4 linked regions of the Anolis sagrei genome follow. The protein of the gene in region 1 binds, or shares a complex with, the protein of each later gene. Links are inferred from orthologs where the notes say so. Each region holds a gene or a part of one and is shown in the gene's direction. Other genes may lie near its edges.

Region 1 (7,211 bases):
CTGTCATATAATCCAGTTCAAAGCAGATAATCTGGATTTTATATGGCAGTGTAGAAGGGGCCTAAGACTGCAAACCTACATGCATCTATTTGGGAATAAAACTCATTGACCTCAAACTGGATGTCCTTCAGACTAAATACACTGAAGACTAATGGAATATTGTATAGGCTTTCCTGGGGATACATCCTTTTGGCCATAGTTTTGGCTTCTTTCCAGATTTCATGTCAATATGTGTAGAAATATACCATGTAAACCAGAGGCTAGAGTTATATTCCTAGCTTGTTAACAGATCCATGTAAGAATGTTTTAATTTATGGACCAGGCTTGCCAAAGTCGCTTCCCAGTTTCAAAAGGCTGTTGGCAAAAAAGCTCCAGAGAAATGGTGTTTGTCATGTATAATCATTTATTAATTGCACGCATATGCTTCAGCTCAAATTCTAGCTTCTGTATTCGAGTCTGCTGAAGAATATCACTCTCCAATCTTCAATGAAAGGGATTTTTGACAGCATTCACACACAGAATGAACAGGGACCAGAGCCTTCACTGTCTGTAGCACAGCTGGAAAACACTGACTGATTTGGAGACATTCAGAAAAAGATACCAAAGGAAATGCTACCCATATTTAGAACCCAAATACATATTTCCTTCCTTCAGTCCAATGCATAATTGTGTAGCAGTGATATAACAGAATCCACTAATAAGGGAAACATTTTTGAATTACACAGTGATTAATATAGTAATTTTTGTTGAATATCTCTCAATAACATTTTCAGTGGAACAGCTCATTTCTTTCTGTAGTAACAAATACAGTGAATATGAATATGCATGAAACTAACACATCTTATTTTTTTAAAAATGGGAGAGAGAAATACCTTTCTGTTATGATGTTCTACCTCTTCATTAAGATCCCTTCCACACTGTCATATAAAATCCAGATCATCTGCTTTGAACTGGATTATATAGCAGTGTAGACTCAGGTCCCTTCTACACTGCCATATAATCCAGATTATCAAATTGCCATATAAAATCTGGATTATCTGCTTTGAACCGGATTATATGGCAGTGTAGACAAAGACCCCATCTACATTGCCATATAAAATCCGGATTATGTGAACTGAATTATATGGCAGTGTAGACTAATATAATCAAGTTTAAAGCAGTGAATCTGGACTTTTATGGTGGGGGAGATGGGGCCCAAAGCTGGATCTACACTGCCATATATCCCAGGATCTGATCCCAGTTTATCTGCTTTGAACTCAATTATATGAGTCTACACTGCCAGATAATCTGGGATCAGATCCTGGAATTCTAGAGAAGTGTAGATCTAGCCTCAGGGCCCATATATATACTGCCATATAAAATCCAGAGTATCTGTTTTGAACTGAATTATATGGCAGTGTACACAGAGGGCCCTTCCACACAGCATATAACCCAGAATATCAAGGTAGAAAATCCCACAATATCTGCTCTGACCTGGGTTATCTGAGTCCATACTGCCATATATCACAGTTCAAAGCAGAAAATGTGGGGTTTTATTCAGTTGTGTGGAAAGGGCCTCATATGATCCAGTTTAAAGCAGATTAAGTGGATTATCTGCTTTGATAATCTGGATAATGGAGCCCCCGGTGGCACAGTGGGTTAAAGCCCTGTGCCGGCAGGACTGAAGACTGACAGGTCGCAGGTTCGAATCCGGGGAGAGGCGGATGAGCTCCCTCTATCAGCTCCAACTCTTCATGCGGGAATATGAGAGAAGCCTCCCACAAGGATGATAAAACATCAAATAATCCGGGCGTCCCCTGGGCAAAGTCCTTGCAGATGGCAAATTCTCTCACACCAGAAGCAACTTGCAGTTTCTCAGGTTGCTCCTGACACGACAAAAAAAATAATCTGGATAATGTGTCAGTGTAGAAGAGGCCCTAGTTGTACAAGGTCTTTAGCCTTCTCTGCTGCAGAGGGTTGATGCTTCACCAAACTACAACTTCCAGGATTCCATAGCACTGAGCAGGGCAGTTAAAGGTGTGTCAGACTGCTTTGATTCTAGGTATAGATGAATGTTTCTCAACCTTCCTAATGCCACGACCCCTTAACACAGTTCCTCATGGTGGCAGTGATCCAACCATGAAATTATTTTTGTTGCTATTTCATAACCGTAATTTTCCTGCTGTTATGAATCATAATCTAAATATTTGATATGCAGGATGTATTTTCATTCACTGGATCAAACTTGGCACAAATATCCGATTCACCCAAATGTTAATACAGGTGGGATTCAGGGGGATAGATTTTGTCATTTTGGAGTTGTAGTTGCTGGGCTTTATAGTTCACCTACAATCAAAGAGCATTCTGAACTCCACCAACGATTAAATTGAACCAAACTTGGCACACAGGACGCCCATGACCAAGAGAAAATCCTGGCAGGGTTTGGTAGGCATTGAACTTGAGTTTTGGAGCTGTAGTTCACCTACATCCAGAGAGCACTGTGGACTCAAACAATGATGGATCTGGACTACACTTGGCATGAAGATTCAATATGTCTAAATGTGAATACTGGTGGAGTTTGGGGAAAATAGACCTAGATATTTGGGAGTTTTAGTTGCGGGGATTTATAGTTAACCTACAATCAAAGAGCATTCTGAACTCCACCAATGATGGAATTGAACCTGTCTTGGCACACAGCACTCCCATGACCAACAGAAAATACTGGAAGGGTTTGGTGGGCATTGACCTTGAGTTTTAGAGTGTTAGTTCACCTACATCCAGAGAGCAGAAGATGGTCTTTTGGTGAGGATTTGCTGTCCATTTCCAAAAAGGAAGAAAAGGACATTTGGAGAAATCTTCAGCCTTCTCTACCAAAGAAGTTCCTAAGACTATCATAGAATCATAGAGTTGGAAGAGACCTCAAGGGCCATCCAGTCCAACCCCCTGCCAAGAAGCAGGAAAATTGCATTCAAAGCACCCCCTGACAGATGACCATCCAGCCTCTGTTTAAAGACCTCCATAGAGGGAGCCTCCACCACACTCCGGGGCAGAGAGTTCCATTGCTGAATGGCTCTCACAATCAGGAAGTTCTTCCTAATGTTCAGATGGAATCTCCTTTCTTGTAGTTTGCAGCCATTGTTCCGCATCCTAGTCTCCAAGGAAGCCGAAAACAAGCGTGCTCTCTCCTCCCTGTGACTTCCTCTCACATATTTATCATATCTCCTCTCATCCTTCTCTTCTTCAGGCTAAACATGCCCAGCTCTTTAAGCCGCTCCTCATAGGGCTTGTTCTCCAGACCCTTGATCATTTTAGTTGCACTCCTCTGGACATATTCAAGTTTGTCAATATCTCTCTTCAATTGTGGTGCCCAGAATTGGACATGACTTCCCTGGATCAAGACACTATACTCCTATTGATGCAGGCCAAAACCCCATTGGCTTTTTTTTTTTTGCTGACACATCACATTGTTGGCTCATGTTTAACTTGTTGCCCATGAGGACTCCAAGATCTTTTTCAAACCTACTACTCTCTGCTGGAACTAGGTGTGAATGTTTCAACTGACCACCTTAATTAGCATTTGATGGCTTGGCAGTGCCTGGGGGAATCTTTTGTTGAGAGGTGATTAGATGTGTCTGATTGTTTACTCTCTGTTGTTTTGCTGTTGTAATTTTAGAGTTTTTTTTAATACTGGTAGCCAGATTTTGTTCATTTTCATGGTTTCCTCCTTTCTGTTGAAATTGTCCACATGCTTGTGGATTTCAATGGCTTCTCTGTGTAGTCTGACATGATGGTTGTGAGAGTGGTCCAGCATTTCTGTGTTCTCAAATAATATGCTGTGTCCAGGTTGGTTCATCAGATGCTCTGCTATGTGTCCAGGTTGGTTCATCAGGTGCTCCAGCAGACAAGAGTCCTTTGCCCCACCCTGGTCATTCCACAGGTATATAAACCCATTTTCCTACTTCCCACAGATCTCACTACCTCTGAGGATGCTTGCCATAGATGCAGGCGAAACGTCAGGAGAAAATGCCTCTAGAACATGGCCATATAACCCGGAAAAACCTACAACAACCCAATTCTGCAAATATTTGTTTTCTGATGGCCTTTGGTGACCCCTCCCTCACGCCACGCCCCCCCTTCAGAGGTCCCGACCCCCATGTTGAGTGACACTGGTGTAGATAGACGCCCGTCTCCTTCTCCTCCTCCTCCGACCCGCCCCTCCTCTTGCGCTGGCTTTCCTCTGGTGGAAGCAGAGCGTGCGGCTCCTTTAAAACCGGACTCCAGGAGCCGACCAGCCTCTTTTCTGACTTGGGTCCTTCTTCTTCTCCTTCTCCTTCAGTAGCAGCAACAGCGCGATCGAGTGGACGTCTCTTTTGGTTGTTTGCTGGGGCAGGAGAAAGAAGGCGGCTCCGTCTCTCCCATCCATCCTCCAAGCTGGTTTTCTGGCTCAAAGGGGGCTTCAGCTTCGCCTCCTGCCCTCTTGCCAAGCCCCTTCTCTGCCCAGATTAGTAGGGTTTTCCCCCTTACTCAGTCTCTTTTTGGGGTGGGATTTAAGGGCTCCAATACACCTCGGTTTATTTGACATTGGAGGGATCCTGAGACCAGAGGATCCGGTGCAAATCGACCCCGCCAGGACTGATCCAGGTAAGGAAGGACAAGTTTTAAGATTTCCTTTCTTTTTTTGGAAGTGGAAAGGAACATTTTGGAAGCTGCTGCAAGGAGGGAGGAAGGGGACCAAGCTGGCACCTTCTGAGTTGGATTTTTGGGGCGCATCTGCGGCGTAGACTTCTTTAAGTGCCATGGCGAAGGAATTGTAGTTTTGCAAGTCTTTAGTCTCCTCATCCCAAGAGTGCTGGTGCCTCACTAAACTACAAATCGTATGCTTCCATACATCACACTAGAGGGGAAAAAATCCACTTAAAATCTGGTTTCTGCCTCCTGCAGAATTCTGGGGTTTGTAGTTTAGTGAGGCTGTTAAAGGCTCCTCCCTAAACTACAAATCCCAGAATTCTGCAGGAGGCAGAAACCGAATTTTAAGTGGATCTTTCTTCTCTGAGACGCATAGCCATGGTACTGAAAGTGGTGTCAAACTTAACTTATTCGACAGTGTAAATGCATCCCCTGTTGCAGGGTTTTTCTTGGCAAGCTTTGTTAGGGTTTGACATTGACTTCCTCTGAGGCTGAGAGAGTGACTTTCCCAAGGTCTACCTGATAATAAAAGAAGTCTTCCGGTACACACATCTCCCTTTAAAAATCTAAGAGGACTATATATTCCACATTAGCAATAATTCCTTTATTTATTTATTTATTTATTTATTTACAGCATTTGTAGCCTGCCTTTCTCAGCCTTAGGGCAACTCAGGGCAGCTCACAGAATTGAGCAAATTTGATGCTATACATTCATAAAATACAGTTAAAACATTCAACCCAACATTATAAAAAACCATATATATACCAATTAAAAACATAATCACCGGTGTCATCCTGTTAGAATAATTATCCAGCAGCATTTTCTAGCCATTCCATGTTCATTCTTCCTATTTCATACTTACCTATTCCTATGTAATATTTACCTATGACCGGTTTTCAAAAGGGCCATAAGAGGACAGTCAAAATTCATGACATGCAAGTTGGGAGACTGTTAAAAAGTTTGTATTCTGTTGATTAAATGGGAGTTTGTCATATAATTTTAGGGATGCTGTCCACATCCATAAAAAATAATCTACCATTAACGGCACTCCATGCAGTCATGCGGGCCGCATGATCTTGGAGGTGTCTATGGACAACGCCAGCTTAGAAATGGAGATGAGCACCAACTCTCAGAGTCGGACACAACTGGACTTAATGTCACAGAAAAACCTTTACCTTTACATATTTCTATGATGGGTTTACAACCCTAGATATGATCTCTCTTCATATATATATAGGCAACTTGTTCAGTCTATATCAGGCATGGGCAAACTTCGGCCCTCCAGTAGTTTGGACTTCAACTCCCACAATTCCTAACAACCTCCAGGCCCCTTCCTTTCCCCCCTCAGCTACTTAGGAATTGTGGGAGTTGAAGTTCCCAATCTATAAGATTTTCCTTTCAATTCATTTCAATTTTCTTGTATGAAAGGAAAATTCACACCTACCTCCAACCAGGCCCGTAGCCAGTATTTCGTTTCGGAGGGGGCTGAATTTTTTTTCAGGGGGGTTTGGGGGGGGGGCTGAGTTTTTTTTGGGGGGGGGCTGAGTCTGAGTGAAAGATGGTCTAGCCTAGCAAACCTTTTGTATCGTTACCCCAATACCCCCATGCATATGGGATATATTGAGTATGGTGATCAGATCATGATATGAATAAACATAACAGTTTAAATAATGCACCAGTAAGGCCTTTTCGCGAACCACCATGAAAATTTCGGGGGGGGGGGGCTGAAGCCCCCCGAGCTCCCCCCCCCCCGGCTACATGCCTGCCTCCAACAGACAAGAGTTCTTTCTCCCACCCTGGACTTTCCACAGAAATATAAACCCAATTTTACTAGTTTCCAACAGACCTCACAACCTCTGAGGATGCCTACCACAGATGCAGGCAAAACGTCAGGAGAGAATGCTTCCAGAACATGGCCATACAGCAGGTGTATGTGCCAGTCAGCCTACAACAACCCAAAGGAAAATCTTTCCAAGACTAAATAGAAGACATCTCTTATAATAAAGGGACACCACAGGCAGCTTAAAGGCACATATGGGACAAGCTTCCAGGCCTGCAAATTGGGGACACCCTTTATGATAAAGGGTGTCCCCAATTTTATAAAGGAGACAGTTTCTGACTAAATATTTTTTAACAAGGTACATCTGGCAAGTCATCCTCCTGCTTTTGGTTATATCAAATCTGGGGTGTATGCACTGTAGAGTTAATGCAATTTCACACCACTTTAACTGCCATGACACAATGCTATGGAATCCTGGATATGCAGTTTAGTGAAGCACCAGCACTCTTTGGCAGAGAAGGCTTGTATACTTCAACTTTTATTGAGCATGGTTTGTTTGTTTGTTTGCTTTTTGTCGTGTCAGGAGCAACTTGAGAAACTGCAAGTCGCTTCTGGTGTGAGAGAATTGGCTATTTGCAAGGACGTTGCCTAGGGGACGCCCGGATGATTTTGATGTTTTTATCATCCTTGTGGGAGGCTTCTCTCATGTCCCCATATGAGGAGCTGGAGCTAACTCATCTGCCTCTTCCCGTATTCGAACCTGCG
Region 2 (7,254 bases), about 51 Mb from region 1:
GGGATTGGCATGAGCTGCTGAATTGACCCATCTGATTGATTAATTAATTAATTAATTAAGACTGCAGCCAGGAAATCAGGAGACACTTACTTCTTGGTAGGAGAGCAATGACCAATCTTGATAAAATAGTGAAGAGTAGAGACATCACACTGGCAACAAAGATCCGCATAGTTAAAGCAATGGTATTCCACATAGTCATCGACGGATGAGAGAGCTGGACCATAAGGAAGACTGAGTGAAGGAAGAGAGATGCTTTTGAACTGTGGTTTTGGAGGAAAGTGCTGAAAGTGCTTTGGACAGCGAGAAGATCCAACCAGTCCATACTTCAAGAAATAAAGTGCTCATTGGAGTGAAGAATAGTAGAGACCAAGATGAAGTACTTTGGCCAAATCATGAGAAGAAAGGAAAGCTTAGAGAAGACAAGGATGCTGGGGAAAATGGGAGGAAAAAGGAAGAGGGGTCGACCAAGGGCAAGATGGATGGATGGTATCTTTGAAGTGACTGGATTGACCTTGAAGGAGCTGGGGGTGGTGATGACCAACAGGGAGCTCTGGCGTGGGCTGGTCCGTGAAGTCACGAAGAGTCGGAAACGACTGAACAAATTAACAACAATTCTCTAGCTGTTCCTTCAATGCATACCCCTATAGAATATTTCCCCCCGCCGCTAGAAGGTTTAACTGTATGATCCGTTATATGAGCCTCTCCCTTACAGATGTTATGCTCCACTTTTATCTCACCCTGAGTTTTTTTTAACATTTTATCTTCTACACGTGGCCCATTGTGATTCTGTCTGTGAATGATTTATTTTATTTCTACTTTTATTTTTGGTGCATTATTTTATATTGTTTAGTGTATCCTTATGATTTATTTACTTTATCGTGTTGCTGTTTTGTGTTTATTTTATTGAAATGCATTTTTGGGCCCAGCCTCATGTAAGCCACCCGAAGTCTCCATTGGAGAGATGGTGGTGGGGTATAAATAAAGATGATGATGATGATGATGATGATGATTATTATTATTATCTGTATATATAATAAAGAAGAGTGTTTGTTTGTATGGGAAGGACAGAGGAAGTGTGGAGGGTGGAAGTGTATGTGGCAGCTTTCCGATTGGCTGCCACTGTGGTGCTATTTGCATATGGTCTCTGATTGGGCAGCTTCAATAGGAGCCCCTGGTGGAGAAGAGGGTTCATGGCAGAAACGGGGCATGACAGAAGGAAATTTGCATATGGTCTCTGATTGGCCAGCCTCAAATGCAAGATTCCGAGATGAGAGAGGAAAGGAAAGGCCGGGGGCTGGGTCAGAACACTACCAATACAGACCAAAATAGGCACATAGAGCCCCCATCACCCACTCCACATCCTACTGCAGTTTGGAGGAGTATGAACCATGGATGATGGGACTTGCAGTACCACCACTCGCATTCTGAGACCGCTGCTAACCTTATCCAATGACTGATCAGGACCAAACTTCGCACATAGACCTCTCATGACCCTCTTTACGTCCTGGTGTGGTTTGGCCGGGGATGGACCGTGGATTATGGGACTTGCAGTACCATTGCTCAATTCTTCAGACCACTGCAACCATCATCCAATTACCAATAAATACCAAACTTGGCACACTGAGTCTCCATGATGCACTCTACATCCAGGTGCAGTTTGAAGGAGGATGCACCATGGACGATGGGACTTGCAATACCTGCACTCCCTTCCTAAGACCATTACAACTACCAACGATGATGGATCAGGACCACAATTTACACAGAGACCCAGCATGACCCACTCTACATCCTGGTGCGGTTTGGAAGAATTTGACAATGGATGATGGGACTTGCAGTCACTTCACTCACTTCCTGAGACCACTGAGACCCTCGCCGATGACTAATCAAGACTAAACTTGGCACATGGAGCTCCAATGACCCACTCTACATCCTGGTGTGGTTTGGAGGAGGACAGATCATGGATGATGGGACTTCAAGTACCTCCACTCTCCAAGTCTGCTGCAAAACTCATCTAATGACCAATCAAGACCAAAGTTGGCACACAGAGCCCCCATGACCCACTCTACAGCCTGCTGCAGTTTTGGAGGAGGGTTGACCATGGATGATGGAACTTCCAGTACCTTCACTCACATTCTGAGACCTCTGCAAACCTCATCCAATGACGGATCAAGACCAAACTTGGCACATAGACCTCTCATGACCCACTTTACGTCCTGGTGTTGTTTGGAAAAAATTGGAGATGGATGATGGGACTTGCAGTACCTTTGCTCACTTCCTGAGACCCTCGCCAATGACTAATCAAGACTAAACTTGGCACATGGAGCTCCAATGACCCACTCTACATCCTGGTGCAGTTTGGAGGAGGACAGACCATGGATGATGGGATTCAAGTACCTCCACTCCCTTCCGAAGATTGCTACAACTCTCTTCTAATGACCGATCAAGACCAAACTTGGCACACAGAGCCCCCATGACCCACTCTATATCCTGCTGCTGTTTGTAGGAGGATGGCCCATGGATGATGGGACTTCAAGTACCTTCACTCACTTCCTGAAAATAATGCAGCCGTTATCGAAAGACCAATAAAGACCAAACTTGGCATAAAGAACCACCATTACCCACTTTCTCTAATAACCCGGGCAACGCCGGGTCCCCAAGCTAGTTATTAATGTTTATGAAGCAAGGAGGGATGGGGGACTGTCATTAGCTGACGGGGCTCTGGGAAATAGATCTAGAGGACTACAAATAAGGACCTTATCACGTTTGCTGCTGAATTCACCATGGATTGTGGTGAATCCATCAGGGTCTATTGGGGAGCATGGGGAACTCCATGTCTTGCATTGCCTAGCTTCCTCCTTACCCCATCCCATGGGGGGAAATGTCCGCCATCCGGCTTCACCCTATTGTTATCAATGCAACATAGGAAGCCACCTGTGTTGTTGCGGCAGTGGCATATAATGCTTCCTTTTCACTATTACTATGGAGCCCCGCTGGAAGTAGTTTGATATCGTGAGTTGGGACTGGCATAAGCTGCTGAATTTGGCCCACCTGATTAATTAATTAATTAATTAATTTACTACACTTTTATCCTGCCCTTTTCAGCCCAAAGGCGATTCAGGGCGGCATACAGACTGGCAACAATTAGATGCCAAACACACATAAATACATTGTTTAAAACAGGTTTGTTCTGTCGCACGCTGGGCCTGTGCATAAGACTGTAGACAGGACATAAATTCTGTGTGCCCAACGGGACGCCAGGGCTGCCTCAGATTAAAGGCCTTTGGATTTCCTTAAACAGAGTCTTTAGATTGCTTAAAGGTTCAACCTAGTTCTTTATTAATGAAAACAAACAGGTACTTTAAGGCTTTCTTAACAGTCTATTGGCTCTCTCTCAATCTTGTCCACTGGGAACAGGCACTATCTTCATAAACTGTACTTTAGCTAATAGGGAAATCCTTAACTTCTAATCTGGGCAGTCTTTGCCTCTGATGGCGTGGAGCCCCTACACCCGGTACCAACTGCTTCTGGCTTCCGCGAGTGACCCTTACCAAGCAGAGCTTTGTAGACTTCCAGGGGAAAAAAAGAAGGAATTCAGGCTTCGGTGATGGCTGACTAAAGTCCCTCAGTGATGGAGCTGTAAGACTGTATAATCCTCGGCCAAGCTATGGGACCTTTCTCCCCGGCCAAGCTGTAGAAGACAGGAGCTCTTGGTATTATGTCCTGCATGAAAAGCTTCTCTGTGTGGACTGAACCCAAACTGGCTCCTATTCCCTCCAAAACCCAAAAAGGGGGCGGGACCAGGGAACCTAACTATAATTGACAGGTGGCTTGCCCTATGATTGCAGCAAATTGGGAGCCAGTGGAGTTGGCGCAACAGCGGAGTTGTATGCTCCTTGAGCGATGCTCTTGTTGGTAGCCTGGCTGCTGCCTGCTGAACCATTTGAAGCTTCCAGACAGTTTTCAAAGGCAACCCCACAAAGTAGTCTGATGAGGTTGTAAGATCTACTCTATCAAGGCCTAGCAACGAGTATGCATCTTCTCTCCAGATCGTCATTCAACTTCGAAGCACTTTTTGCCTAGCATGTGGGCACTTTCTCTTTTAACTCTTATTCAGGCACTAGTCAGATGAGCTACGCAGATGTCAGTGGTGCCCCAGGGCTGTCTGTCCCATGTCTGATTTGTCAAAAGATGTGGTAGCAGGCGGAGTGTATGTGCCTGCAATGTCTGCTTCTACAGGCTTGGCGTTTGCCTCTCTTCCTTTTGCCCAGACTGCTTCTTTGGAGTTCTCTCTCCCTTTCCCCCCTCTCTTTCACTCAGTCTTGGATTTCACAACCGGGCAGACAGAACTGAAGAGGACATTACCCAAGCAAAAGGCACCCTGGGCCTTGTAAAGTGGATGTGCCGTGAAGAACAGAGGGCTCTGGCTGCCTGGCAGGGTGACCTGAGGTGGCCGCCCCAGGGTTACAGAGGTCCTGGTGACTCTGGAAGGGTGTGGGGAGCCAGGGAGGAGACTTGAGCCTCGCTGGGAGCAGGGCTTGCTCCCGAATCTCATTTTTCACATGTCTGCTGCACTCTCGCTACCAGCTCTGTCAGAGGAAAGGAGGCGCTTCCTGTTATTCCAATCCAAATCTCAAGCTGAACACAGGAGGGAGCAGGCAGCTGTAGAGCAGAGTGGCAGGGTGAGCAAAGATGGAAGGCCAGTGCCTGCCTTTGCAACTGCTTCTACTGGTCTTTACAGGTACGTACTTTGGGGCATAGACAGCATAGACTCACAGCATAGACAGCTGTGAGTAGCTTTGCTTCTCTAATGGGGGAGATTGGAGCTTATCCTTACCGATTGTCTGCAGTAGGCAAGGGGGTGGCAACTCTACAGGTCAGCTCAATTTGTGAGCCTGGCGCTCAACTCTTTCATTGACCCCATTTATTATTATCTGTTCTTGTCATCTCGCGGGCACCATCTTAACAATCTGTGCATGTGAATCACACACTTCTTTTGCTCAGTTCTGTATCACATCCCTCACTTTCACACTTCACACTAGCTGCAACGTTTGTTCCTTCTGTGTTCTTCGCTAACTATTACATTCTCGACCCTTCCCCTAATCTGGTTTGTCTGGTATTTTTCCATCTCGAGGGTGACTTCTTTGCCAACATCAAGTGAATTTTCCTCTACAGTCCATTCCGACACCAATTTTGGGGATGATTTCCTAAACCTAGGATAGGAATGCTTTATTTTGTATTATGAAATGCTTTATTTTTCAGGTTCAGTGCAATGGATGAAAAGAGCACTCTTGTGGCAATCTCTTATTTCTGACTAGCCGTCCCCTGCCATGCATTGCTGTGGTCCACTTTGGTGGTCATGGGGGTTCTGTGTGGGAGGTTTGGCCCAATTCTGTCGTTGGTGGGGTTCAGAATGCTCTGTGATTGTAGGTGAACTACAAATCCCAGCAACTACAACTCCCAAATGTCAAGATTCTATTTTCCCCAAACTCCACCAGTGTTCACATTTGGGCATATTGAGTATGTGCGTAGAGTTTGATCCAGGTCCATCCTTGTTTGAGTCCACAGTGCTCTCTGGATGTAGTTGAACTACAAGTCCAAAACCAAAGGACACTGCCCACCAAACCCTTCCAGTATTTTCTGTTGGTCATGAGAGAACTGTGTGTCAAGTTTGGTTCAGTTCCATTGTTGGTGGGGTTCAGAATGCTCTTTGACTGTAGGTGAACTATAAATCCCAGCAACTACAACTCCCAAATGACAAAATCAATTTTTTGAGTGAAGGACATACATTGGGTTGTTAGGTGTCATGTGTCCAAATTTGGTGTCAATTCGTCCAGTGGTTTTTGAGTTCTGTTAATCTCACAAATGAACATTACATTTTTATTTATATAGATGGGTTTTTAATAAGTAAATTTGGCAGAGAGTGGGGAACAAGTCTTAGAACCCTAGAGCTGCAAGAGTCCCAAAGTTCCTGTTTCCCACCAGAGCCATTTCCCTTTTGCCCCTGCCCCCATTTCACTCAATCTGAAACATGGCATTACCTAGTAGAGGGCAGGTGCATTTGTCACTGGGGTTGTAAAGCAAATATATTCAGAACTAGCTGTACCCGTCACGCATTGCTGTGGCCAACCTTCCATCCCTCTTTCTCTTCTTTCTTTCTCTCCTTCCCTCCCTCCCTTCCTCCCTCCCTCCCTCCCTCCCTCCCTCCCTTCCTTCCTTCTTTCCTTCCTTCTCTTCTTCTTCCCTTCCTCCTCCCCACCTTTTCTTTCCCTTCCTCTTTCTCCCCTTTCTTCCTTCTCTACCTATTCTTGGATAGCAACTCCCAGCAGTCCTCCTGATCTATCTATCTATCTATCTATCTATCTACCTACCTACCTACCTACCTACCTACCTATCTCTATCTAATCTATCTATCTCAGCGTTTCTCAGCCTGGGGGTCAGGACCCCTGAGGGGGTCATGAGAGGGTGTCAGAGGGATCACCAAAGACCATCAGAAAACACATATTTCTGATGGTCTTAGGAACACAGTGCTCTCCGGAGGTAGGTGAACTACATCTCCCCTAAATCACTGTCAATTCCTCCCAAATCCCTGCAGTATTTTCTGTTGGTTATGGGGGTTCTATGTGGGAAGTTTGGCCCAATTCTATCATTGGTGGGGTTCAAGGGGGACTTTGAGTGTAGGTGAACTATTAATCCCAGCAACTACAGTTCCCAAATGTCAAGACCTCTTTTTCCCAAACTCCACTAGTGTTCACATGTGAGCATATTGAGTATCTGTGCCAGGTTTAGTCCAGATCCATCATTGTTTGAGTCCACAGTTCTCTCTGGATGTAGGTGAACTACAACTCCAAAACTCAAGGTCAATGCCCACCAAAACCTTCCAGTGTTTTCTGTTGGTCATGGGAGTTCTGTGTACCAAGTTTGGTTCAATTCCCTCATTGGTGGAGTTCGGAATGCTCTTTGATTGTAGGTGTACTATAAATCCCAGCAACTACAACTCCCAAATGACAAAATCAATTATCCCCCCCCCCCCCCAACTCCACCAGTATTCAAATTTGGGCATATCACATATTTATATCAAATACATCCTGCATATGAGATATTTCTATGATGATTCATAACAGTAGCAAAATGACAGTTGTGAAGTAGCAACAAAAATAATTTTATGGTCGGGGGCCACCACAACATGAAGAACTGTATTAAGGGTCACAGCATTAGGAAGGTTGAGAAACACTGATCAATCTGGAGGATTGCTTG
Region 3 (7,302 bases), on another chromosome or scaffold:
AGGACATACATTGGGTTATTAGGTGTATGCTGTCCAAATTTGGTGTCAATTGGCCCACTGGTTTTTGAGTTCTGTGGATCCCACAAACAAACATTATATTTTTATATATATACTAGCTGTGCCCTGCCACGCGTTGCTGTGGCCTTTAGTAAGAGTTTTGAATTCTCTGCCTGGCCTCTCTTCCTTCCTTCCCTCGCTCTCTTTCCCTCTCTCTCTCTCACACACTCCTTCCTTTCCCCTCTTTCTCTCTTTCCCCCTTTCTCTCTCTCACACTCCTTCCTTTCTCCTCTTTCTCTCTCTCTCTCCCTCTTTCTCTCTCTCTCACTCCTTCCTTTCCCCTCTTTCTCTCTCTTTCCCTCTTTCTCTCTCTCTCACTCCTTCCTTTCCCCTCTTTCTCTCTCTCTTTCCCTCTTTCTCTCTCACACTCCTTCCTTTCCCCTCTTTCTCTCTTTCCCCCTTTCTCTCTCTCACACTCCTTCCTTTCTCCTCTTTCTCTCTCTCTCTCTCTCTTTCTCTCTCTCTCACTCCTTCCTTTCCCCTCTTTCTCTCTCTTTCCCTCTTTCTCTCTCTCTCACTCCTTCCTTTCCCCTCTTTCTCTCTCTCTTTCCCTCTTTCTCTCTCACACTCCTTCCTTTCCCCTCTTTCTCTCTCTTTCCCTCTTTCTCTCTCTCACACTCCTTCCTTTCCCCTCTTTCTCTCTCTCTTTCCCTCTTTCTCTCTCTCACACTCCTTCCTTTCCCCTCTTTCTCTCTCTCTTTCCCTCTTTCTCTCTCTCTCACACTCCTTCCTTTCCCCTCTTTCTCTCTCTCTTTCCCTCTTTCTCTCTCTCTCACACTCCTTCCTTTCCCCTCTTTCCTTCTCTCTTTCTGTCTCTGGCATCCCTCCTTCCTCCCCCTTCTTTATGCTTGGCCATAGGGGTTCAGTGTGGCATGTTTGCCCTAATTCTGTCATTGGTGGGGTTCACGATGCTCTTTGAGTGTTGGTGAACTGTGAATTCCAGTGACTACAACTCCCAAATGTCAAGGTCTATTTTCCCCAAACTTCATCTGTGTTCATATTTGGGCGTATTGAATGCTTATGCTAAGTTTGGTCCGGATCCATCATTGTTTGAGTCCACAGTGCTGTCTGGATGTAGGTGAACTACAACTCCCAAACTCAAGGTCAATGCCCTCCAATCTTTTCCAGTGCTTTCTGTTGGTCATGGGAGTTCTGTGTGCCAAGTTTGGTTCATTTCCATCATTGGTGGAGTCCAGAATGCTCTTTGATTGTAGGTGAACTGTAAATCCCAGGAACTACATCTTGCAAATGACAAAATCATAATTGTTTGAGTGATGGTCACTCCTTCTGTTGTGAGATGTTGTGTTGTGTTGTGGAGCCTTCCCTTCCTCTCCCCCCCCCCCGCCTTTCCCTTCCCTTCCCTTCCCTTCCCTTCCCAGCACTCGCCTCTTTTGCTGTTCTTCCGTCGTCCCTCCCTCTGGCCGGATCGCGATCTAGGCAAGAGAGGCTTCATGCAAGGCTAGGCCCTGCACAGAACCTCCCTCGCCTAGAGGGTAGGGGAGGAAGAAGGAGGGGGAGGAGGTGAGATTGGGGAAGAAGAAGGAGGAGGTAAGAAGGAGAAGGGAGGGGTGGTGAGTTAGCGGCGTGTGTGTTTGTGTGGAAGGCAGGGGGGTTTGTTACGGGCGTTTGGTTGTGTTGCGGAGAAGGGAGGGGGTGTGCGTTAGCGGCGTGTGTGTTTGTGTGTTGCAGGGAAGGCAGGGGGGCTTGTTACCGCCGTTTGGTTGTGTTGCGGGGAAGGGAGGGGGTGTGTGTTAGGGGCGTGTGTGTTTGTGTGTTGCAGGGAAGGGAGGGGTGGTGAGTTAGCGGCGTGTGTGTTTGTGTAGAAGGCAGGGGTGTTTGTTACCGGCGTTTGGTTGTGTTGCGGGGAAGGGAGGAGGTGTGCGTTAGCGGCGTGTGTGTTTTTGTCTTGCGGGGAAGGGAGGTGTGGTGAGTTAGTGGGGGGAGGGGTTGTTACCGGCGTTTGGTTGTGTTGCGGGGAAGGGAGGGGGCGTGTTTTACCAGAGCTGCGTTGGAGGAGGGAAGGAGTGTTTCAGGGCCGGAAGGGGTGGGAGGAAGTTGCGATGCGTGTGTGTGTGTTTGTGGCAGCGACGTGTTCGTGCTGGGCGAGGGAGGGAGGGAAGTGCCGTTCGGCCGTTCGGCCATGTGTGCGCGCGCGCTGGGGTCTTTGCGGCAGTGCGCATGCTCAGTTGTTTTGCCACTTTGTGAGTGTGTTGTTGTGTTGTTTGTAATTGTGAGTGGATTAGTTTGTACCGAGTGGGTTGTCCTAGGGCCATGGCAATTTTGGTGCAGTTTCGTTGGGGGGGTTTAGAGTTTACCTGTCCGGTATAACCAACCTAACAGATTTATATATATAGATTAGCCGTCCTCTGCTAGGCGTTGCTGTGGCCCAGTCTGGTGATCTGGAAAATAAAGTAATGAGAAAGTGTTGGTTTCTAATATATGTAATTTCATATATTAGTATTTCTTGCTGTTTCTTTGTCAGTGTTGATGTGGAGATTGTCTGGTTTGCCCACCCTGGAACATGCAACATATCATTGTCCTTCTTTAGGGGTCCCTTTCAAATCTAGGATACTATCTTTCTCTCTCTCTCTCTCTCTCTGTGTGTGTGTGAGAACCATATCTATCTATCTATATTTATGACTGGATGGCTCTTTGTCAGGAGGGCTCTGATTACATTTTCTTGCCCTGCTGAAGGGAGATGGACTGGATGGCCTTAAGTATTTTCTGTTGGTCATGGGGGTTCTGTGTGGGAAGTTTGCCCCAATCCTGTCGTTGGTGGGGTTCAGAATGCTCTTTGATTGTAGGTGACCTATAAATCCTGGTACCTATAACTCCCAAATGTCAAGGTCTATTTTCCCCAAACTCCATCTGTGTTCATATTTGGGCATATGGGATATTTGTGCCAAGTTTGGTCCAGATCCATCATTGTTTGAGTCCACAGCGCTCTCTGGATGTAGGTGAACTACAACTCCCAAACTCAAGGTTAATGCCCACCAAACCCTTCCAGTGTGTTCTGTTGGTCATGGGCAGGGGCGGCTCAACCATTACGCAAAGTAAGCATTCGCAGTATAGTTGATTTTGCCCAGGGGAGCTCTTGAGGCGCTCTTGGGGGAAAATAGACCTTGACATATGCGAGTTGTAGTTACTGGGATGTATAGTTCACCTACAATCAAAGAGCATTCTGAACTCCACCAATGATGGAATTGAACCAAATAGGGCACACAGAACTCCCATGACAAACAGAAAATATATATCAGTGATTGGCTGGGGGGGCGGGGGGGCGGGGGGCGGAATACTGTTTGCTTACCGTTGAAAATTATCTAGGGCCACCTCTGGTCATGGGAGCCCTGTGTGCTAAGTTTGGTTCAATTCCATCATTGGTGGAGTTCAGAATGCTCCTTGATTGTAGGTGAACTATAAATCCCAGCAACTACAACTCCCAAATGTCAAGGTCTATTTCCCTTAAACTCCATCTGTGTTCATATTTGGGCATATGGAATATTCGTGCCAAGTTTGGTCCAGACCCATCATTGTTTGAGTGCTCTCTGGATATGGGTGAACTACAATTCTCAAAGTCAATGTCCACCAAACCTTTCCAGTTTTTTCTGTTGGTCAGGGGAGTTCTGTGTGCCAAGTTTGGTTCAATTCCATCATTGGTGGAGTTCAGAATGCTCCTTGATTGTAGGTGAACTATAAATCCCAGCAACTACAACTCCCAAATGACAAAAATCATAATTTTTTGAGTGATGGTCACTCCTTGTGTTGTGAGACGTGTTGTTGCCAAATTTGGTGTGATTTCGTTCATTGGTTCTTTTGTTTTTAAGGTACTCATTATGCACAAAGCATTTTTTATATAGATAGATAATATAAAACAATAGTAATGCGTGTGTTTGTGTGTATGTGTGTCTATATATATATACACACACACATGCACACAAACACACGCATTACTATTGTTTTATATTATTATTATCTATTATTATTATTATCTATTTTATTATTATTATCTATATTATTATTTATTTATATTATTATTATTATTATTATTATTATTATTATTATTATTATTATTATTTATCTATTATGATGATTATGAGAGGCAAACGCCGGGGAGAGGACGTCTTCGGATTGGGCGTGCTGCTTGGGCTCGCGGCTCCAGAGCTGACCAATCCGGGCACTCCTTTCCCGCTGCGGCGCTGCACGTGCTCCCGGGAGGGTTCTGCGCCGCGCGCGCCCGGGGACCAAACCAGTCAGAGAGAGAGCGCGAGAGAGAGAGTCAGAGTCACTGCGCTCGCGCTCCCTCTCTTCCCCCGCTGCTTCGGGGCGGGAGGCGCCATGGCTTTGGGGATGCTCGCCCTGCTGAGGCGCTTCTTGTGGCTGAGCCTGGGTAAGTGCTGCTCCCGACCTTGGGTTTCCCTCTGTCTTTGCCTTGGGCTCCCCTTTGAAGGGCGGCGGGGTCGCCAGGTGCTGCTGGTTCAACAGCCAGCTAACTAGCATCACCTGGGACTCCCTCGCCTACACCACTCTTAAAGGGACAGGAGCCTTTTCCAGTGGTGGTTTGGACTGCTCTTTCTTCTCGGTGGGGCCTCAACAGAAGCATGGGATTAGGGGAAAGGCACCTTTCTTCGCCCCTTCTAGGCTTAGGCAAGCTTGCAACTTGCTGGCAAGTGTAGACAATATGTTCAAAGGGGCTTCAAGCATCTGAGAAGTTCCAGTACGATACAAATGTATATTGTATTGATGGATTCTGGTTCCAGGAAAGGAGATTCCACTTGAAGATTAGGAAGAACCTCCTGGCCATAAGAGCTGTTCAACTGTGGAACTCTCTGCCTCAAACTACAAGAAAGGAGATTCCATCTGAACATAAGGAAGAACTTCCTGACTGTGAGAGCTGTTCAGCAGTGGAACTTTCTGCCCCGGAGTGTGGTGGAGGCTCCTTCTTTGGATGTTTTTAAACGGAGGCTAGATGGCCATCTGTCAGGGGTGCTTTGAATGTAATATTCCTGTTTCTTGGCAGAATGGGGTTGGACTGGATGGCCCATGAAGTCTCTTCCAACTCTTTGATTCTAGTAAGGGTAGTAGAGCAGCATTTCTCAACCTGGGGGTCGGGACCCCTGGAGGGGTCGCGAGGGGATGTCAGAGGGGTCGCCAAAGACACAGTATTTTCTCTTAGTCATGGGGGTTCTGTGTGGGAAGTTTGGCCCAATTCTAACCTTGGTGGGGTTCAAAATCCTCTGATTGTAGGAGAACTATAAATCCTAGTACCTACAACTCCCAATGTCAAGGTCTATTTTCCCCAAACTCCAGCAGAGTTCACATTTGGGCATATTGATTGTCATGTCAAATTTGGTCCAGATCCATTATTGCTTGAGTCCACAGTTCCATTATTGCTTGAGTCCACAGCTCTTGGGATGTAGATGAACTACAACTCCAAAACCAAGGCCAATGCCAACCAAACCCTTCCAGTATTTTCATGGGAATTCTGTATGCCAAGTTTGATTCAGTTCCATCATTGGTGGAGTTCAGAATGCTCTTTGATTGTAGGTGAACTATAAATCCCAGCAACTACAACTCCCAAATGACAAAATCAATCACCCACCCAATGCCACCAGTGTTCAGATTTGGGTGTATCTGGTATTTCTGCCAAATTTGGTCCAGTGAATGAAAATGCATCCTGCATATCAGATATTTACATTATGCTTCATAACAGTAGCAAAATTACAGTTGTGAAGTTGTCATGAAAATAATTTTCTGGTTGGGGGTCACCACAACATGAGGAACTCTGTTAAGGGGTCGCAGCATTAGGAAGTTTGAGAACCACTGTAGTAGAGAGGCTCCTTCCTTGGAAGCTTTCAAACAGAGGCTGGGTGGCCACCTGTCCAGGGTGCTTTGATTGTGCGTTTCCTGCGTGGCAGGGGTTGGACTGACTAACTTTACTTAGGCAATTCCTCATTGTCTGAGGATGATGGTCCTCCAAGTGTAGTTTCCTGGTGGTGGATCCGTAGGTGACAGTGGAGCCCTATTGTCCTGCATGTTCTCCTTTTCCAGCATGTTGACATTTGTCCCCTTGTCTTCCCAAGAGAGTTGCAGGATTTTCTGGAGGCAGCACTGGTGGAATCATTCCAGGAGTTGCATGTGACGTCTGTAGACTGTCCAAGTCTCACAGGCGTATAGCAGGGTTGGGAGGACAATAACTTTATAAACAAGCACCTTGGTCTCCCTATGGATGTCCTGGTCCTCAAACACGCTCTGCTTCATTTGGAAAAACGTTGGACTGAATGGCCCATGGGGACTCTTCCAATTCTATGGTACTATCTCAGGCATGGGCAATCTTCGGCCCTCCAGGTGTTTTGAACTCCAACTCCCACAATTCCTAACAGCCAGTAGGCTGTTAGGAATTGTGGGAGTTAGAGTCCAAAACACCTGGAGGGCCAAAGTTTGCCTACACCTAAACTATAGCCTTATTTTGGGTGCCCCCTTCCCCAATGTCTCTTGGTTACCTATATTTTCATACCCAGTCTGCCACTGCAGAGCATGACCCTGTGGTCAGAGAATAAATACCGCACAAGGAATTTATTAATGTAATGATAAGGATGGAGTTTGGTTAGATAATAGTTCCATATGGCATGGTGTCGGAAGTCATGGGTGGTGGTTCACATGTGGTGGGTGGGAGTGGGGAAATAATATGTGTATTTCAATTGTTGAATTTTGAAGATGATATGTTCTTTTTTTTTCTTCATGTACCACAATAAAAAATATACAAGAGAGAGAGGATGATTGCAGTATGACATTGTTTTGACTGCCGTCGTTTAATTTGTATTTTGGAAGGTCTTTAGCTTTCTCTGCGCAAGGGTGCTGGTGCCTCACTAAACTGAAACCCTCATGGTTCCATAGCATTGAGCCACAGCAGTTAAAGTAGAGTCAAGCTGCATTAACTCCACAGTGTAGATGCCCCTATAAATATTAATCAGTGTACCAGTGAATCTGGCAAGTTGGGTTCTTCTAGTAGCAGGTACTATTCCATCCTCTGTTTTTTCTTCTTCACTCAGATCTAAAATACCCTATCTTTGACTACTCAAACATTTGACTATTACGGGAATACAAATATATGCATCAGTTGCATCATTGGGCGGGGTGCAGAAATTAAAATGTAGATATGATCTTATCTCTTGCAAACACTGCTTCCATTTATTTATTTATTTATTTGTTGTATCAGGAGCGAACCAAAACAGTTGTATTGCATTA
Region 4 (6,890 bases), about 39 Mb from region 1:
CAACTATTGTACATAGATCCAAAGCCAGATAATCAGATAATTATATTTATCAGTCCAAAGCCAATTCCAACTATATTGCACAGATAATTATGCTGGGCCAAATGCTTGTTCCCAAAGCCAAGTTTTCACTTGTTTGAGAAATGACAGGAGGGAAGTAACCAATCTAATTCCACTAGGGAGAGGGTTCCACAGCCAAGGAGCCATCACTGAGAGGGCCCTGTCTCTCATACCCACCAGTTGTGCCTCAAAGGTATATAGTTTAGTGATTACATTAGAAACTAATGCTTGCCTTCTTTGTGGTATCGGGCAGTTTGAATCAGGTGAGCAGGGGGAGCTCCCATCTGTCAGCTTCAGCTTCTCATGCAGGGACTTGAGAGAAACCTCCCAAAGGATCACCATCACCTGCTTCTACTGTTATCTGCCTCTGGAGGCCCTTCCAGACAGGGCCAAATCCTGGGAAGAATTGGAATATTCAAATATTCAAATTCTTCCCCCTAGTTTGGTGGTGGCTACATGCCGTTCCAGAGGTTGACCCGAGAGGGCATCCATCCAGCTCCCTGCCCCCTATTTTCCCCCAAAACAAAAATTCTCAAAGATAATTGCCAGTGGTTCTGAAATTACTTCTGCCAGTTCTTTCAATAGCCTTGGATAGTTCATCTGGCTCTGGAGAATTGAATTCATTTAGATTAGCCAGATATTCCTGTATTGCCTGTTTATCTAGTCTGTGCTGCATTTCCCCTACTGCATCCATTGCTCCATCATCCTCAAGCTGAGCACTGTTTATTCTTTCGGAGAAGACTGAGACAAAGAAGGTCTTGAGTAATTTTGCTTTTTCTGTGTAACCTGTTAGTATTTCACCACCACCTATACACATCCACTGTTTTAGCGTGGTGAGATGTGTTCCACACTGGGCATGCATACTCAGCAGCAGAGTAGCATAGCGCAAGGGCAGATGTCTTCACTGTGTCTGGTTGTGATTCCCAGGTTGTGCCAGTCCGCTTTCGTATGATATTGTTTCTAGCACCCACCTTTTGCTTGATATTCAGACAATGCTTCTTGTAGGTCAGAGCACGGTCCAGAGTGACTCCCAGGTATTTGGGTGCGCTGCAATGCTCCAGTGGGATTCCATAATAATAATAATAATAATAATAATAATAATAATAGTACTTTACTTATAAACCGCCCTATCTCCCCAAGGAGACTAATTGACCGTACTTTCCTTACTTACTTAGGCGATCCCTTGTTGATCGAGTAAGATTATCTTCCAGGTTCGTTGTACTGGTGGTGGGTAGGTAGGTGACTATGGAGCCCCATTCTTGACCTGCATGTTCTCCTGCAGTGAGGGCATCAGTTTCCAGGTGGGAGGTGGTTCCGGTCGGGGTTGGCTTGATGTGCCTTCCGCTTGGCACGTTTCCTCTCGCCCTCCTTTCATGCCTCTTCAAATTCTACAACACTGCTGGTCACAGCTAACCTCCAACTGGAGCACTCAAGGGCTAGGGCTTCCCAATTCTTTGTGTCTATGCCAGAGTTTTAAAGGTTGGCTTTGAGCCCATTTTTAAACCTCTTTTCCTGTCCTCCAACCCATTGAAGAAATTCCACTGGAGCATTGCAGCACACCCAAATACTTGGGAGTCACCCTGGACCGTGCTCTGACCTACAAGAAGCACTGCTTGAATATCAAGCAAAAAGTGGGTGCTAGAAACAATATCATATGAAAGCTGACTGGCACAACCTGAGGATCACAACCAGACACAGTGAAGACATCTGCCCTTGCGCTATGCTACTCTGCTGCTGAGTATGCATGCCCAGTGTGGAACACATCTCACCACAGTAGATGTGGCTCTTAATGAGACATGCCACATAATCACGGGGTGTCTGCGCCCTACACCACTGGAAAAATTACACTGTCTAGCCGGTATTGCACCACCTGACATCTGCCGGGAAGTAGCAGCCAATATTGAAAGGACCAAGGCAGAGACATCTCCAGCCCATCCCTTGTTTGGGTATCAGCCAGCACGTCAATGACTTAAATCAAGACATAGTTTTCTAAGATCTACAGAGACATTCGCTGGAACACCTCAGCAAGTGTGGCAGGCTCAAACCCAGAACCTCAACCAATGGCTGATACCAAATGAGAGACTCCCCCCTGGACACACAGAAGACTGGGTGACTTGGAAGGCGTTGAACAGACTGCGCTCTGGCGCCATGAGATGCAGAGCCAACCTTCAGAAATGGGGCTACAAAGTGGAATCCACGACATGCGAGTGCGGAGAAGAGCAAACCACTGACCACCTGCTGCAATGCAACCTGAGCCCCGCCACATGCTCAATGGAGGACCTTCTTGCAGCAACACCAGAGGCACTCCAAGTGGCCAGATACTGGTCAAAGGACATTTAATCAACTACCAAGCTTGCAAACTTTGTGTTTTATCTGTTTGTTTGTTTTGTTCTGTTAGAAATGTAATACAATTGTCTGGTTGCCGCTGACACAATAAATAGGTTTTGGCGGTGACCAGGGGAGAATTTGCACAGTTAAAACTTGTGCGCCAGCTGCGCCCGTACCTTGGGAAGTCTGACTTGGTCACGGTAGTCCACACTCTGGTTACATCCCGTATAGACTACTGCAACGCTCTCTACGTGGGGTTGCCTTTGAAGACTGCTCGGAAGCTTCAAATGGTCCAGCATTCGGCAGCCAGGTTGCTAACAGGAGCGGCACTCAGGGAGCATACAACTCCTCTGTTGTGCCAGCTCCACTGGCTGCCAGTTTGCTACTGGGCACAATTCAAAGTGCTGGCTTTAGCCTATAAAGCCCTAAACGGTTCTGGCCCTACTTACCTCTCCGAACCCATCTCCTCCTATGAACCGACTAGGACACTAAGATCATCTGGGGAGGCCCTGCTCTCGGTCCCGCCTACATCACATGCGTGCCTGAACAGTTTGGGACCACCCTACCTGCGTGACCGCATCTCCATCTACGAACCCTGCATTCACTTCGGTCATCTGGAGAGGCCCTGCTCGTGATCCCACCTGCGTCGCAAGCACGCTTGGTGGGGACTCGAGACAGGGCCTTTTCTGTGGTGGCCCCCCGACTCTGGAACGCCCTCCCAAGAGATCTTAGACAGGCCCCTACATTGGCAGTCTTCAGAAAGAACTTGAAGACCTGGCTGTTCCGATGTGCCTTCCCAGATTAGGAACCTCCAATACCAAGTCCTAGAAGTACTTTAGTAGAACTAAGATTACTGCACACCTCACACTGCACTTACTTATAATCCTACATACCTCCTGCCACATCAGCACTTTTAATCTTGTACCTATTACTCTGGCCCGGCCCAGTTTTATAGTGTCTTGATGTCTTGTTTATTCTGCTTAACTGTTTTAATTTTGCTTTAGGTATTGTATTGTTGTATTGTGTTTTGAGGCCTTGGCCTGTGTAAGCCGCATCGAGTCCTTCGGGAGATGCTAGCGGGGTACAAATAAAGTTATAATAATAATATACTAATGTTTCTTTGTTGATGCTATAATCTGTTTTTAATGGCTTTATACTTGTCTTGTGATGTTTTGCACTGATGTTGTCAACCGCTTTGAGTCGCCTGAGGGCTGAGAAGAGCGGTATATAAGTAAAGTAAATAAAAAAAATAAAAAATAACCCATTGACCATCATGTTGGGAGTTATAGTTCACCCATATTTTTATGAACTTTCTTATCGGAGCATTCATAAACACACACACACACACACAAAAGCAAAGACTGGCTTTTTCCTAATAAATAGCATTAGAAATGACCTAACCTGGACACTGCAGAGTACACAAGCTAGTAAATGATGATAAATTGCTGCCTGAGGGTGTGGGGGATAATTTAGGAATCAAATGAGCGGGAAGAATCCCACCTCAGGGAGACAAAGAGGGCAGAGAAGAGAAGCCGGGCTGCAATGGTCCCTTTTTGGCCCCCTCCTCGGCCTTGAAAGAGGATGACGGAAGGAAGGGCCATAATAACATTATCCTACCCCCCTCTCCTTTTTCTCAAGGAAGCGAGGGCGGGGAGGAGAGGAGGAAGGAAGGAAATAAATGGCAAAGTGTTGCCAGTAAGAGGAGGAGAAAGGAGGGAAGAGGAGGAGGGGCGGCCTTGTGTGAAGGCGACCCCTCCCCGCCCTTCAAGGCGAACTTCTTCCCTCAGAGGCTGTGGAATGACACAGCCTTATAAAATAGAATATCAAGGCAGATAATCCACAATGTCTGCTTTGAACTGAGGTATCTACACTGCCATATAATCTAGTTCAATGTGGATTTTATACAGCTGTGTGGAAGGGGTCTCCAGCGCTGCCCTTGCTTCTCCTTCTTCTTCTGCTGCTCCTTCAAGGCGGTGGCCGTGGCGAATCCTGCAGGATGGAGACCTGTGTTTTGTGGCCAGCGCGCCTTTTCCTCTCAATCCTGTGTGGTAAGTGCTTCCTCTTCTCTTCACTGACAGGCTGTCCTCTTTTGTCAAGTTCTCTTCAGAAGTTGCCCAAGGCACAGGCGTGTCCTACAGCAAAGAACACCAAGAATCATAGAATCCAAGAGTTGGAAGAGACCTCATGGGCCATCCAGTCCAACCCCCTGTCAAGAAGCAGGAATATTGCATTCAAATCACCCCTGACAGATGGCCATCCAGCCTCTGCTTAAAAGCTTCCAAAGAAGGAGCCTCCACCACACTCCGGGGCAGAGAGTTCCACTGCTGAACGGCTCTCACCATGTTCAGATGGAATCTCCTCTCTTGTAGTTTGAAGCCATTGTTCTGCATCCTAGTTTCCAAGGAAGCAGAAAACAAGCTTTCTCCCTCCTCCCTGTGGCTTCCTCTCACATATTTATACATGGCTATCATATTTCCTCTCAGCCTTCTCTTCTTCAGGCTAAACGTGCCCAGCTCCTTAAGCCGCTCCTCATAGGGCTTGTTCTCCAGACCCTTGATCATTTTAGTCGCCCTCCTCTTTTTTTTTTAAAACAAGCATTAGGTTTTTTGGAAAGGTTTCTACGTAAAAAAGTAGGTTTCTCCAAACATTATTATGAGTCTCCTGGCAAAAAAATAAGGGGGGGGGGGCACCCCATCTTTTTAAATACTGTACTTTCCCTTTAAGGGAGTCAATGTTTCAGTAATCAAGAACAAACAGGGCCTAAAAGTGAAAAGGGGGGGGGGGGGAAGAGAAGAGACTATTATTTGCAGAAACGAATGTATTTACAGAGAAATATCTACAAATGGCCCTAAATGCAGGGAGACCTTTCCTTTGACAAGCTGGAATGTGTCCAGAGAGCGACTAAAATGATAAAAGGTCTGGAGAACAAGCCCTATGAGGAGCGGCTAAAGGAGCTGGGCATGTTTAGCCTGAAGAAGAGAAGGCTGAGAGGGGATATGATAGCCATGTATAAATATGTGAGAGGAAGCCACAGGGAGGAGGGAGCAAGCTTGTTTTCTGCTTCCCTGGAGACTAGGACACAAAGCAATGGCTTCAAACTACAAGAAAGGAGATTCCATCTGAACATGAGGAAGAACTTCCTGACTGTGAGAGCCGTTCAGCAGTGGAACTCTCTGCCCCGGAGTGTGGTGGAGGCTCCTTCTTTGGAAGCTTTTAAACAGAGGCTGGATGGCCATCTGTCAGGGGTGATTTGGATGCAATATTCCTGCTTCTTGGCAGGGGGTTGGACTGGATGGCCCATGAGGTCTCTTCCGACTCTTTGATTCTATGATTCTATGATTCTTTCACCAAACCACTCTGTTTTTCCTCCCAAAAACCCTCTCTTTCTTGATTAAGACTCTTCTTGATCCTCAATCTTTGGAGCCAAGTAGTATTTCAAGTGTCCCATGTCTGCGATCTTGTATTCCACAACGAGGGGGACATCAGCAGACATGCTGAGGGTGACGGTGGGCGAGAGCGGGGTGGCCTTGGTGAAGAAGTTCAGGTAGCACAGAGCAAAGGTATGCTGCACAGCCTCGTTCATCTCTATTGACATGGCTTCGTCCTCTTTGTCAACATCACTGGTCTGGGAGAGCTTGATGTTCCCGCTCCCAAGTTCCCCGGTGGCAGAGAACTTGACGCCGTCCTTCGCACAGAGGATGACCACCGCGTCTCCGATGTGGCTCAAGTCACGGCAGATATGTGCAAATTCGGCCTATCGCAAAGAACACCATTTGGTATGCAAAAAAGAATAAAACATTTATGAAACCTCAACATCCTTCGAATACACCACATCCCAACCCATCTACAACTAATCAAAATCTATTACTCATTTCCACCCAACTCCAAGGAAGCCCCTCGAGTGCTGGACGAGTGCCTGGCCGCTGTGGCTGTCCGGATGAGGAGGAACAAGCTGAAGATCAATCCCGACAAGACAGAGGTCCTCCTGGTCGATCGAAAACCGGATTGGCGTATAGGGTGGCAACCTGTGCTGGACGGGGTTACACTCCCCCTGAAGTCGCAGGTCCGCAGTTTGGGAGTCCTCTTGGATTCATCACTTACGCTTGAGGCTCAGGCGTCGGTGGTGGCCGGGAGGGCTTTTGCACAATTGAGACTCGTGCGCCAACTGCGACCGTACCTCGTAAAGGCTGATCTGGCCGGGGTGGTCCATGCCTTGGTCACCTCTAGATTGGACTACTGTAATGCGCTCTACTTGGGGCTGTCCTTGAAAACGGCTCGGAAATTTCAGTTAGTCCAACGGGCGGCAGCCAGGATGTTAACTGGTGCTCCTTATAGAGAGAGGTCAACCCTCCTGTTCAAGGAGCTCCATTGGCTGCCATTAATTTTCTGGTCCCAATTCAAGGTGCACGGTTTGAGACCTGCCTACCTGCGTGACCGCATCTCCGTGTATGAACCCACACGCTCTCTTCGTTCATCCGGAGAGGCCCTGCTCACGATCCCACCTG

The links.
Region 2: the proteins of CALCR (region 1) and RAMP2 are in contact, whole or in part, in a cryo-EM structure (PDB 7TYX), measured with the Homo sapiens proteins. The link is inferred for Anolis sagrei from reciprocal best matches to the Homo sapiens genes CALCR and RAMP2. Residues at the interface, in NP_001158210.1 of Homo sapiens: Arg45, Lys46, Met48, Met49, Asp50, Gln52, Tyr53, Lys54, Tyr56, Asp57, Met59, Gln60, Trp76, Gly78, Arg126, Phe235, Leu238, Ile242, Thr246, Val250, Glu255, Lys256, Gln257, Arg258, Trp261, Tyr262, Leu264, Leu265, Phe269, Pro273; in NP_005845.2 of Homo sapiens: Trp86, Tyr93, Ser94, Arg97, Asp98, Glu101, Leu109, Pro112, Glu117, Ile120, Phe121, His124, Phe128, Cys131, Pro136, Phe138, Ser139, Asp140, Pro141, Leu146, Met149, Ile150, Pro153, Ile154, Leu156, Ile157, Leu160, Ile161, Leu163, Val164.
Region 3: the proteins of CALCR (region 1) and RAMP1 are in contact, whole or in part, in a cryo-EM structure (PDB 9AUC), measured with the Homo sapiens proteins. The link is inferred for Anolis sagrei from reciprocal best matches to the Homo sapiens genes CALCR and RAMP1. Residues at the interface, in NP_001158210.1 of Homo sapiens: Arg45, Lys46, Met49, Asp50, Gln52, Tyr53, Tyr56, Asp57, Met59, Gln60, Gln61, Thr75, Trp76, Asp77, Gly78, Asn124, Arg126, Phe235, Leu238, Ile242, Thr246, Val250, Ala251, Gln257, Arg258, Trp261, Tyr262, Leu265, Phe269, Ile276; in NP_005846.1 of Homo sapiens: Trp59, Ile63, Tyr66, Arg67, Ala70, Asp71, Phe83, Trp84, Pro85, Val89, Asp90, Phe93, Leu94, His97, Gly98, Phe101, Ser103, Arg109, Ala110, Val111, Arg112, Asp113, Pro114, Ile118, Leu119, Phe122, Ile123, Pro126, Ile127, Val129.
Region 4: the proteins of CALCR (region 1) and RAMP3 are in contact, whole or in part, in a cryo-EM structure (PDB 8F0K), measured with the Homo sapiens proteins. The link is inferred for Anolis sagrei from reciprocal best matches to the Homo sapiens genes CALCR and RAMP3. Residues at the interface, in NP_001158210.1 of Homo sapiens: Arg45, Lys46, Met49, Asp50, Gln52, Tyr53, Lys54, Tyr56, Asp57, Met59, Gln60, Arg74, Thr75, Trp76, Asp77, Gly78, Asn124, Arg126, Phe235, Leu238, Ile242, Thr246, Gln257, Arg258, Trp261, Tyr262, Leu264, Leu265, Phe269, Ile276; in NP_005847.1 of Homo sapiens: Cys57, Leu59, Ile63, Tyr66, Glu67, Thr70, Tyr83, Trp84, Pro85, Gln90, Ile93, Thr94, His97, Arg98, Phe101, Ser102, Cys104, Val106, His110, Leu111, Glu112, Asp113, Pro114, Val118, Leu119, Leu122, Ile123, Pro126, Val127, Leu129.

What each region holds. Positions count from the first base shown.
Region 1 is NC_090026.1:101,948,135-101,955,345, forward strand, and holds the start of CALCR (calcitonin receptor), read left to right. Parts: upstream 1-4,202; 5' UTR 4,203-4,620; intron 4,621-7,211. UniProt on the Homo sapiens protein: G protein-coupled receptor activated by ligand peptides amylin (IAPP), calcitonin (CT/CALCA) and calcitonin gene-related peptide type 1 (CGRP1/CALCA).
Region 2 is NC_090026.1:50,685,190-50,692,443, reverse strand, and holds the start of RAMP2 (receptor activity-modifying protein 2), read left to right. Parts: upstream 1-4,241; 5' UTR 4,242-4,689; coding exon 4,690-4,738; intron 4,739-7,254. UniProt on the Homo sapiens protein: Accessory protein that interacts with and modulates the function of G-protein coupled receptors including calcitonin gene-related peptide type 1 receptor (CALCRL) and calcitonin receptor (CALCR). Required for the transport of CALCRL to the plasma membrane.
Region 3 is NC_090021.1:175,097,342-175,104,643, reverse strand, and holds the start of RAMP1 (receptor activity-modifying protein 1), read left to right. Parts: upstream 1-4,292; 5' UTR 4,293-4,392; coding exon 4,393-4,444; intron 4,445-7,302. UniProt on the Homo sapiens protein: Accessory protein that interacts with and modulates the function of G-protein coupled receptors including calcitonin gene-related peptide type 1 receptor (CALCRL) and calcitonin receptor (CALCR). Required for the transport of CALCRL to the plasma membrane.
Region 4 is NC_090026.1:63,149,183-63,156,072, reverse strand, and holds the start of RAMP3 (receptor activity-modifying protein 3), read left to right. Parts: upstream 1-3,885; 5' UTR 3,886-4,381; coding exon 4,382-4,433; intron 4,434-6,890. UniProt on the Homo sapiens protein: Accessory protein that interacts with and modulates the function of G-protein coupled receptors including calcitonin gene-related peptide type 1 receptor (CALCRL), calcitonin receptor (CALCR) and G-protein coupled estrogen receptor 1 (GPER1).